Caenorhabditis elegans: one gene and its partners. The protein of the gene in region 1 purifies or fractionates together with the protein of each later gene. This does not show direct contact. Each region holds a gene or a part of one and is shown on either strand. Other genes may lie near its edges.

Region 1 (2,985 bases):
CATGATTTTCGGCGAGGCGAAAGGAGATTTGTGAGCAGGTAACATTTTTAATCCAAGCTTCTTGGTTGCCAACTTTTGAGCAGCAGGAGATAATTGTGCAAGCTTGTCTGAGACTCGCTTGGATCCAAATCCAGGTGTTCGGCTGAAACTTTACCAAGTTGAAAATTATTTGAAGTACTATTATCTCGTTATAGATTTTAATACCATAGAGAAATATATTTTATAACTTGAAAAAATAAACAATTTTTAATTGAAAAATGAAAACTCACTGAGCTCCTTCAGCTGCTCTCATCGCAACTTTTCTCTTGTCTCTATATTTGGCCGCGATTGAATCATTCATAGATTGTGCAATTTTCTCCCGATACGGAACCTCTGGTATCTTGAATACAGGCGCCGCACCAGGCAACGAATGCTCTGTAACGTCAGGCGCATCAAGTCGGAATGGTGTTCCATCAATTTCTCCCCAAGTCATAAGAGGAGAATCCATGTCGTCAGGATTTGGATTCGGTGTTTCGAGTAATTTGAATGAGTTGGCTGGAGTTACTTCATTTCCCAAAAAATCAACTTTTCCGGCATTCGCGAGAGCATGGCTCACTGCTGCTCGAGTCATAGCTTCGTCGCTAGGCTTCAATTTTCCGGAGTCTGGAAACCTAGTGCCACGTTTATTTATTTCAGTTTGCTGTTTTCTAGCTGCATCTGCAATCTCTGCAGGTGTCAGAGCTGCCCCATCCGGATTGAAGAGTACAGTGTTCCATGCTTTGTATGCCCAATTGTCTACATTCAGAGGTCTATTGTCATCAGCATCTACAGCATGTTTTAAAGCCAACTGCACGTCAGCTTCAGCAGCAATTGCTTGTCGAGTCACCTGAAATTAGATTAAGTTACGAATTCGACGATATCAGATTTTATTCGTGAAAGAATATCTTACAAGGTTTTTGTTATGCTCTTCCTCGGCTTTATAAACCCAAGGACGACGTGCATCTTCTCGTTCCCTCATAACTTTCGCCAATTCCTCGAAGGAAGCATTGTCTTCTGATGTGTATTTGTTGAGATATGACGTTAAAGTCTCTTCTTTCTTCTTTTTTCGTTTCCGATTTAACGCCTGAAACTCTGCGAAAGATAGTAATGGATTGAAAATCATAAATCTAACCTCATTATCTCCTTCCTCATTAGCAAAAGGCATTGGAGATTGCATCCAATCATGTGCACTCGAAGTTGAAGCAGATGAAGGGCCCGGTGTATCTGCATCGAAAGATGAAACATCAGGAGCCTCAGTTGTCGAACGAGTTGTTATTGGGGTTCTGAAGCTTCTATCGGTCCGCACACTTCCAGTACTGCAGAACTTCATTTGAAGTTCTTTTATTTTATTAATGTCCTTATTTGCAACAGCCTCCAAATACTCTTTCTGTGCCTGAAAATAGAACTCATTAAAACAGTAAATATTTATAAATAATGATTATTTTACCTGCATTTTCTTGAGATGTGGAAAATAATCTTTTTCTATAATTTTATCAAGTCCAGCAATGTACTTCTCCTCGGGAACAACTTGGCGCTCAATTTTCTTAGTAACTAGGGTTTTCTGTGACAATTTCACTACTTTTCCCTCGTTTATTGATTTTGGCACCATCAGCTGAGCTCGCTCGTCATTTTTGTCGAACGACGACATTTTTCGAGTTCTGAAAATTTACAAAATAAAATTAAAAGCACTATTTTAAAAAGAAAAAACCACGAAAATTAGAAAAATAAAAGAAATTGCGAAATTTTATAAAAAATCGGAGTTTCGTAGTGCAAGTTGTTTAGCGCTCTCGTACGTAGTCCTCGTGGACAATAAACTTACTGTTAGAATTTGTTTTCTTTCAAAGATTATTTGATTAAATACATAACACTTCTTGTCCGTAAATTAATATATTTGATTTCTGGTTAATTTATCTTCAAAAACATTAATTGCTTTCAGAAAAGGTGATAATCTCGAAATGGCTTCAACAAAAGATGAAGTTGTGAGAATGAGCGTCGATGAGTACTGGGAAGATATTAAAGACGATTATCTTATACAACTAGCTAACACGGACCCTAATGAAGTCTATCCAAGCAATAACCCCGGACCAACAACTGCTGATGGCCAAATCAATTTTGAATGTCACTGTGTCGGTCATCTTGTTGGAAGCCCTTGTGGATTCGAGTTTCGGGAAGCGATTACGTGCCAAAAGACCAATAGTGATGGTGAAATAGAGCAGGTAACAATTATTTAGCTCTAGAGTTCTCGAAAATAAATAAATAATATGTATTGTAGGGAGCTTGCGGTAAGGAGTTGATGTCGTTCATGGAGTGTGTCACACGAACACAGTGTTTCGGTACCGGTGACAATGATAAAAAGTGATGATTCAATTATAATTTGTTCATTTTGTTAATTTATAAATAATTATTGTTTAAATACTGTTTTGTAATAATTATACTGTATTTTGTGCATTACAAAGAGTATTGCGAAACGTTTATTTGCTCTCTTTTCTTTTCATCTGTATATCTTCGAACACTCCTTCATTTTTTGGTTTTCTTTTCGCTGTTCGGATGTTCCTTTGGCCGGCTTGAAGTACTTTTCATATCTATTCTCCTTTTCCACTTGAAGTTTTAGTTGCTGTGGAAGATTCGATTCGGCCATCAGTTGTCAGGCTTAAATATGGTAAAAACGTTGCAGATCATTAATCGGCGGGAAGCGGGAATTTTGCATATTGTAGGAGAAGAAAGTATAGACCCGGTTTTACGGTAAAGTTCTTCTTCGCTTTAACAAATTGCTTCACTTGTCATACTTACGCTATTTTTGTAGGGCGCCAATGAAAGAATTTAGCGTTTCGAGTTCATCTATCAATTTGTATTTAAATTCTTGTGATTTTTGAGTGAGCATTGTAAGAAAAAATGATACTCAAATTCTCCGATTGGGTCAGATCAAATGATTTTCAATGTATTATAAATATTTTTTCAAGATCTCAA
Region 2 (4,467 bases), on another chromosome or scaffold:
AATGTGAAAAATGACGTTATATGAAATGCATTATCGTGTGGAAAATTATATACTAATATGCATTTGTATAGGGTTTCTGAAAGTAAAAAAAGTTAATTGTTACTGATTACGTTGAAATAAAAATTTTGAAGATCCAATGACTAAAAAAAAGTTTAAAAGGATGATCGTTTTTAAGCATTAAGCTCTGCGGATTTGGGAGTTAACTTCCTAATGGTGCTCCCAGTGGGCTTCTTGGGCAAAATCAAAAATAAATACGCTATCAGGCCAATTGGGCATTAGACTTGTGCAGCTCAGTGCTGTTTTGTGCCAATCAGTGTCGCTTTTTGGGCGCACTGGCCCGCGCTAGAATGGTAGATTAAACTGTCCACAATCTCTCCAATTAAAATAATTTTTACAGCACTTGTTCACGACATAGTGTACGATAAGTTTTAAAGTTGATTTTTTCAGCTTATTTTTTCTTGTGATAACATTTTAATTAGTGAGTATTAAAAAACTTTCAAATAGCTTTCAATTTGAACAAATTCCAGACTGGTAGTAAGAAATCTGCTAGAAACTTTACTTTTTGGCTCCATTCTTGTAAAAATTCAACTCAACTTAAATTTGAAAATGTAATACAAAACATTTTTTTTGATGTCTTAAAACTGGGAGAAAAATTGTCAAAAAGAAGACTTCAATAACCGATTTAAACTGAACAATTTGGAATTGAACAAAATCTTTTTAGTATCAACCAGTAAAAAGTTACTACTCCATGATGCTTGCGCACTAGAATTTTTCAGTGTTCAACATTGCACGCTTGTTTCGCCTTTAGCATTCAGCTGATGGATCAAAATTTCAATAACTGCAAATTAAACTATTTTTTACAATTTTATGTTACCTAGCTACTTGAAAAAAACTTTTGATCGCAACCGAGATATTTTTTTGAAGAGAAAATACGAAAAATCTAATTGGGAATAACGAAAAGAGCTCAAATTATTTTTGTACCAAAAGTTTTTCAATTTTTTTGAAATTACATGTGATTGTTTTTGTATTTGAATTTTGTTAGGCTTAAAAAAATAATTTCTAAATCTTAGTTAAAATAGTATTGACATAATGGTTCACGTGCTGATCTGAATGAGAATTAATCCTACATATATAATGCAATAATAATGTATATGTTAAAAAATTAATAAGAACATCACACTGTCACTGTTTCTTAAATTATTGTTCAACATATTTATATTTTATTAGTTTGTTTAATCGGCAGGCGTATTTAAAGTTGAATAATCGAAAATAAATTATGAAATAACTATTTTTCGCAATATTAAAAACTATTGAGAAATATTAACTTTTTCGCACTTCTTGCCTTCGGTATTAAAATTTTATATATTGTTGTAAATATTCTGAAATGTATTTCATTTACAGTTGTCAATCATATCAAGTTGTATTGGAATAAGTACCTTGCAATAACTGCAAATTTAAAAGTTTCTCACATTTAATTCATGATGTTTGATGATTTATTTTCAATAAAATTGTCCTTTTTCCAGACTATCATGAAGTGCACAAATCACTGAGCTTTCTCATTAAAAACATCAGAACAATTATCCAGAGTTAATAGTCTCCCTCAATCACCTACATCACGTTTTTCAAAAGACTCCAGCCTGTTTAATAGCCTTCGGCGTTCTTTTAATCTGAAAAAATAGCGAGCGAGATGAGGAGGGCAGTGGTGGTAACCCAAGCCTCGAGTATTTTACAAGAATGAATCTTACTGACACCTGACGAAGCCTTCACAACAGTCTCTAGTAGCGGTGGCTACTATCATTTGGACTAGGTTGTCTCCTTGAAATTCTTCCTTGAAAACAGGATGACTAAATTATGTCTTTTACTTTTACCACTAGTTTTCCTAGTCTCTTATTCGTTTGCAGGTTTGTTGAAAAGAAATTTAAAAAGTGTTATTATTCATAAGAATGAACATTTCAGAAGAAGAAATAACCATTTCCATTAGCCCAAATGCAAACCCAGTTCAAAAACCAATTGGTCACCAGATTTCTCTTGTGTGCTCTATTAAGAAGACTGATAGTAATGGAGAAAAACCAGGAATGATCTGGAAGAAACATGGTGGACTAGACCGGTATTTCAAGATCCCTATTTTCCTATTAAATATAACCCAGCTAATGTTTTAGAACTGGAAACGTCGAGGTCAAAAAACTAGACGACTACACTCTCGGACTTATTATCAGAAATTCCAGTGTGGAGGACAGTGGTGTGTACTATTGTCAAGCTCAGGTTGGAAGTAAAGTATACATGAACAAGATGGATGTAATCGTTTTTGGTAGGTCTCAATGTTTGTCGAGATTTTGAAAAAATAATACACTTTTTGCAGAGGACATTGTCTTCCGAGACAAACAACTTCACTTTGGTCAAGTTCTAGCGACTGCTTCGGTTAATATTTCATGTGAGGTATCCGCCAAGAAAGACAGTGTCATAACTTACTGGACTCGTCACGGGAAGCAAATCCTGGAAGGTTTGTCTTGAGGAAATTTGTTAGTTGAAACAAGGTGTTTTCAGGTGGTAAGCACAAGTTCTACAGTAGAGGGTCTATTCTGGAAATTCAAAATTATCAACCAGAACAAGACGCAGGACAGTATACATGCGAGGTAAACGAAAAATATAGGATAAAAACTTGTAAATTATCTTAGAATGGGCTTAGATCTAGGAATGACAGCCACTGAGCAAAAAGATATAAAATTACCGTAGTCTAAGTCATCAAAAAGTGAGACAATGGCGGCAGCCATCAAGGGTAAAATTTATGAGTTGCGTCGACAAAAGGTGCTATTTAATTTTATGGTAATTGTAGGGAAATGTTCTTTTGTGTGTAGAGCTGGTAACCGACAGATAAATACAGATAAACCTTATCAGTAAACTGTGAAACTTTTATCAAAAGAGAAGTGATAGTTTTTTTTTGAGAAAAAAGGAAGGGATTTTTGACAAAATATCTCGGTATTTGGCGCTTAATTTCGGCAAAATAAATCTAGCCATAAAGTTGGCGAAGTTTGGTTTTTTTCTTGAATGCTACTTAACCAAGTTCAATATATTTGGGCAAAATTTTTGAAAATAATTTTTTCTATGAATATAAAGGGAATTGAAAGAAGCCTATTGAGGTGCTTCGAGTTTTTCAAAAAATTTATTAAAAAATTACGGTTATTTATGATCTTTGATAACTACCCAGTATAAAAGCAGCGTATACGTTGTAAAACATTAATATTAACAATGTCTTTGTTCGAAACTTGTCACAGAAACTGGCTAAGTATTGCAATTATTATTAAAATATTGTACATATTTTGTTTGTCACATAAATATTTTTATACAAAACAATTCTAATGTGATTTCAAAACACAATGGGATAACATTTTACCAAACGTAAGAGATAAACATTTTAATATGATAACATTTACTTTTTTGAACACTCTAGTTTGTTGAATATTTTTGATTTATTTTTTTTTGAGGTAAAGAACTTTTCAAAATTCTAATTGCAAAATTTAAAAGTAATTAAAAATTTAAAAAAAAAGAAAAAATTTTGTTAATTTTTTTAAGTTTTCTATTCCGTCATTATAGCTTATTTTATGTTATTTAACATTTTGAAAAGTTAAAAAAAAACTGTTTCTTTATTATAGGTGTTCCATGTAAGCAGCGGCTCATCAAACACAAAAACTGTGACTCTTGGAACCACAGGAGAGAAAAACTACGTGGCATGCCAGCAGATGTGTAACAGTTTTTGCACTGATGTTCACAACAAAGTATTTACCAACAACTAAATTTTGAAGTGTATTGATTTTTTTCTCATTTTATCATTTCAAACATTTGAGTCACTGGAATAACTTTGATTCTTTTCAATAAATTATTATAGCTAAAAACATTTTTCTGATCGTGTTCAACGCAACAATATGAAAAAAAAACACGCTAATAGAAAGAAATATTGAACAAATACGGCATTTCTCATGAATGTTTTTGTTTCCAGTAACAAAAGTTCCCTACAAGCTCACGAGTGCTTGGTTGAACGCAATTTTTTTCCCAGGACTGTATGCATAATATATATTCTCGTACGAATATTTTATGCTACAACAAACATAAAAGTTGGAAAAAAAATAATAAAATATTTCATTGGTCCAAAAAACAAGACGAGTATCATCATGACGAGGTTGGTGTTCACTCCCACATACATCTTTCACCACTGTCCGGATAGATACCTTCGGCTTTTTGCCGAAGGTAGTGATAGCATTTGGTGGCAGCCCATATGGCGCCTATACAAATTACGATTCCCAAATATATTGATATCACCATTAACATTTGATCTGAAATGTAAATGAGATTGCGGGAATATGTGGCAAAGAGATTCAGTTGGATACGATGTTATACATACAACTCCGAACAATTCTTTTATTATTTTTTTTTCAATTTTGCAAAAATTCAGATGAATGATGCAGTACTCCA
Region 3 (3,221 bases), 2.0 Mb from region 1:
AAAACACACTTTCTCTAAAAAGAAATAACTAAATTCCAGAATTTATAAGCAATTATTCATAGAATTTGCAAAGATAGTGTTTCCAGTGCTTTTTCGAGCGATAACAACATTTTGCTAGTAGAGATTGTGGAATTTTTGTTGACGATAGTTGATTAAAAGTAGATTAAAAGTGTTAAAAATAGATTTAAAGTGTTCATCATATATTTTTAAGCTCTTGGTTTTTTCCAAGAGCTTTGCTATGTTTCAAATTGATCTTCTATGCATCTATTACTTTTATATTCACCCTCTTCCTTTTTCCGGTCTATTGTATTCAGGAGTTAGAGTCTATAAACACATTCATGCTCGTCTCACACAACAACCTCGCAGTTTCTTCCAACGCCCTTCACTTTTTCTTTTTTTTCTCCTTCTTCTCGCTCCCACCAACACCCCAAAACATTTTGAAATACGCGGGCACGCGCCTGTTTGCATTTGAGTGCGCGCGCATTGCCCCGACGACAGCCGAGTCGCACACTCCAACACAGCCGGGTCGCGTGCGACGCGGCTGTGCAGCGTGCGACGCGCCCCGCCTATCTCGCTCTCGGCTTCGCTCAGCCATCTTCTCTTTCGTCTCCCAATGCCACCCATTCCTCCACTCTTTGAAACTGTTATCTTTTGGCTCACTTCATTCTCCTCCACTTTCGATATCTTTTCTCTGTTGTCTTACGAATGCTGCTGCTGATAAATGCGTACAATCTGATGTGTACTCTTATCGAAAAAGTAGCCTGTTTGTTGACATGAAATATCTTTTGAAAAAAGTTCCCGATGACACATAACTGGGGAACTCTTCTTCTTTCATCTATTTCATTATTTCTAAACTGTTCAGATTTAAACAATTCACGTCAAAAGTTTTTCATGTTGCGGGCGCAAATACTCTGTACTCAAGTGCCTCCGAGCTTTGCAAATTATATTTTTAATACTCTGAAGAGCCTTATTCGTACTAACATACTCCTGTTTCGTGTCATAAATTGGGTCGCTCAAATAATTACCTTGCCGTTCTTCCATTATCCTTATCTATCTCTTTGACCTCCGCATTCCGCATTCACAACCGTTATTATAACTACTACCGAGTACCCGGTGTTCAATTAATTTAATTTTGTATTTTTTGCAGCCAAATCCGTTCAAAATGGTTGACCGCAAGGCTGTGATCAAGAATGCCGACATGTCCGATGACATGCAACAGGACGCCATCGACTGCGCCACCCAGGCCCTCGAGAAGTGAGTTATGAGCTTTCTCATTGCATTTTAAACGCTTGAATAATTCGATTGCCATGAACAACACTTGGTCGCTTAGTAGAGAAAAAGTGTAAAGAAATGTCGTTTAGCTGTTTGGAACGGCTCATCGGTCCCTTGATTTAAACTAAAGTGGACGGCAGCCCGAGTCTAGGGGAGGGGGCGAGCAGGAGCGACCAGCTGATCGAACAAATCTGATCCTTGTGCAAGAAAAAAGCGAAGCGATGAAAGTCTAAAAAATAAAATCAAAACATTTTTTTTTCAGATACAACATCGAGAAGGATATTGCCGCTTACATCAAGAAGGAGTTCGACAAGAAATACAACCCAACCTGGCATTGCATCGTCGGAAGAAACTTTGGAAGCTACGTGACCCACGAGACTAAGCACTTTATCTACTTCTACCTTGGACAGGTCGCCATCCTGCTATTCAAGTCTGGATAAATCCCATCCTGTTCTTAAAAAACATTCAATGATCTTTAAATTGTGACCTGATCCTACGTGTACCTTAGGTGGCGTAGGATCTTCAGTGTGCACTCTTGTTAAATCTTCCTTTTCCTCCCAAAAAACATTTTCCTTCGTCGCATTCTATTTATTTAGCTCAAACTGTTCATTTTCTTTGAATCTTCCTCCATCACCCATAAATCTTCTTACGTTGTCCGTTTTTGAGAGAAAAGAGAACTCATAATATTTTTGTTCTCGAAAAGTGCTCGCACTAAAAGTAAAAATAAAAGGATAGCTTTAAATCCCTTAATTATCTGTGCTTCATTTTTATACTCGAAACTGAACAAGGCAATAATTTAAGATAGAAATGTCATCAAACGATGTGGATCAAAACGATGATCGAATTGCTCAAATGATGATGCCAGCAGCAATTGTGACTCGGCTCATGAAAGAAGACAATATTTCTGCATCAAAAGATGCTCGAGACGTCATCGCTCGTGCTGCAGCAGTGTTTCTCATAAACTTGTCCGACGTTTCGGCTCAATCTGCTCGCGATCAGAAGCACAAGACGATCTCAGGAGATGATGTTGTCAAAGGACTCCGAGAGCTTGAGAATACTTCTATTCACAATCATGTAATTATGGGTTTCGAAAGAGTTAAGAAATTAAAATTTCCAGTGCAAGTCCGCCAACGATAAATGGAAAGTTATTAGTCAGCAGAAGGCTCTCGCTCGTAAAAATCCAGTTGAATCCAGCTCTGTCAATGCTGAAATGGATGACGACATTATTGACGATACTCCTGTCGATGGTTAGTTCTATTCTTTAAATCTGAAGTTTATCTGAATAATTTATAATATTGCAGATTCATTGATGAACTGATCACTCATAACCAACTCATTCCTGCTCAAAACGATCCTTCCTGTAAAATCTCATTCCGATTCTCAACGCGTGTCCCACTTTTGTCTCTAACATTTCACTTTGATAAACAATTTTGGCCAATAGTTTATTGAATGTACAAAACCCCGAAAAAAAATTAAAGCGATCTGAATGCCCCCGAAAAAGTGCCCATAAATAAGTGAATCGGCATGATCAATAAAATAGCGAAAAATGAGAATTGAATAATTGCACGAAGTTTGGCGAATCCATTGTCTGGAACTCGAAAGTCTGCACCAGAGGTAGCTGATCTCTTCCACATCACTTCCCAAGAATCGAATTTTTGCTCCTGTGTATTCTTCTTGAGCCGTATCAATTCATTGCAATTATTTGGGAATCCACGAGAAAGTTCAATAATTTGACGACTCAACTGCTCAGAATCATCGAAAAGATATCCATTAGTTTTCTCCTCAACGAGCTCATCAATACATTTGAATTTTAGAGCCAATGCTGGAACTTTAGCTCCAAACATATCAACAACTTTCATCGGAAGATCCAATCCAGACGTGCTTGTGTGCAAAGAGATTCCTAAGTCAGCAGAGGCTAGAATCTTTGGATAATCTTCTGCTTCCAACCA

The links.
Region 2: the proteins of F42H10.2 (region 1) and zig-6 fractionate together in Caenorhabditis elegans (co-fractionation; one large-scale study listed by BioGRID). This does not show direct contact.
Region 3: the proteins of F42H10.2 (region 1) and pole-3 fractionate together in Caenorhabditis elegans (co-fractionation; one large-scale study listed by BioGRID). This does not show direct contact.

The regions. Positions count from the first base shown.
Region 1 is NC_003281.10:8,488,672-8,491,656, forward strand, and holds F42H10.2 (coiled-coil-helix-coiled-coil-helix domain-containing protein), read left to right. Parts: upstream 1-1,948; 5' UTR 1,949-1,973; coding exon 1,974-2,234; intron 2,235-2,290; coding exon 2,291-2,377; 3' UTR 2,378-2,433; downstream 2,434-2,985. Other genes in the region: Splicing factor ESS-2, read right to left, coding at 1-148, 270-865, 929-1,102, 1,151-1,411, 1,466-1,666.
Region 2 is NC_003284.9:5,186,339-5,190,805, reverse strand, and holds zig-6 (Zwei Ig domain protein zig-6), read left to right. Parts: upstream 1-1,728; 5' UTR 1,729-1,840; coding exon 1,841-1,901; intron 1,902-1,956; coding exon 1,957-2,107; intron 2,108-2,159; coding exon 2,160-2,308; intron 2,309-2,359; coding exon 2,360-2,500; intron 2,501-2,544; coding exon 2,545-2,633; intron 2,634-3,650; coding exon 3,651-3,791; 3' UTR 3,792-3,890; downstream 3,891-4,467. Other genes in the region: T03G11.9 (MARVEL domain-containing protein), read right to left, coding at 4,183-4,328. UniProt on the Caenorhabditis elegans protein: Probably not involved in maintaining the position of ASI and ASH head neuron cell bodies and ventral nerve cord axons of PVQ, PVP, RMEV, AVK and HSN neurons.
Region 3 is NC_003281.10:6,461,706-6,464,926, reverse strand, and holds pole-3 (DNA polymerase epsilon subunit 3), read left to right. Parts: upstream 1-2,070; 5' UTR 2,071-2,079; coding exon 2,080-2,346; intron 2,347-2,389; coding exon 2,390-2,519; intron 2,520-2,573; coding exon 2,574-2,590; 3' UTR 2,591-2,711; downstream 2,712-3,221. Other genes in the region: dlc-1 (Dynein light chain 1, cytoplasmic), read left to right, coding at 1,163-1,254, 1,535-1,712; algn-1 (Chitobiosyldiphosphodolichol beta-mannosyltransferase), read right to left, coding at 2,745-3,221.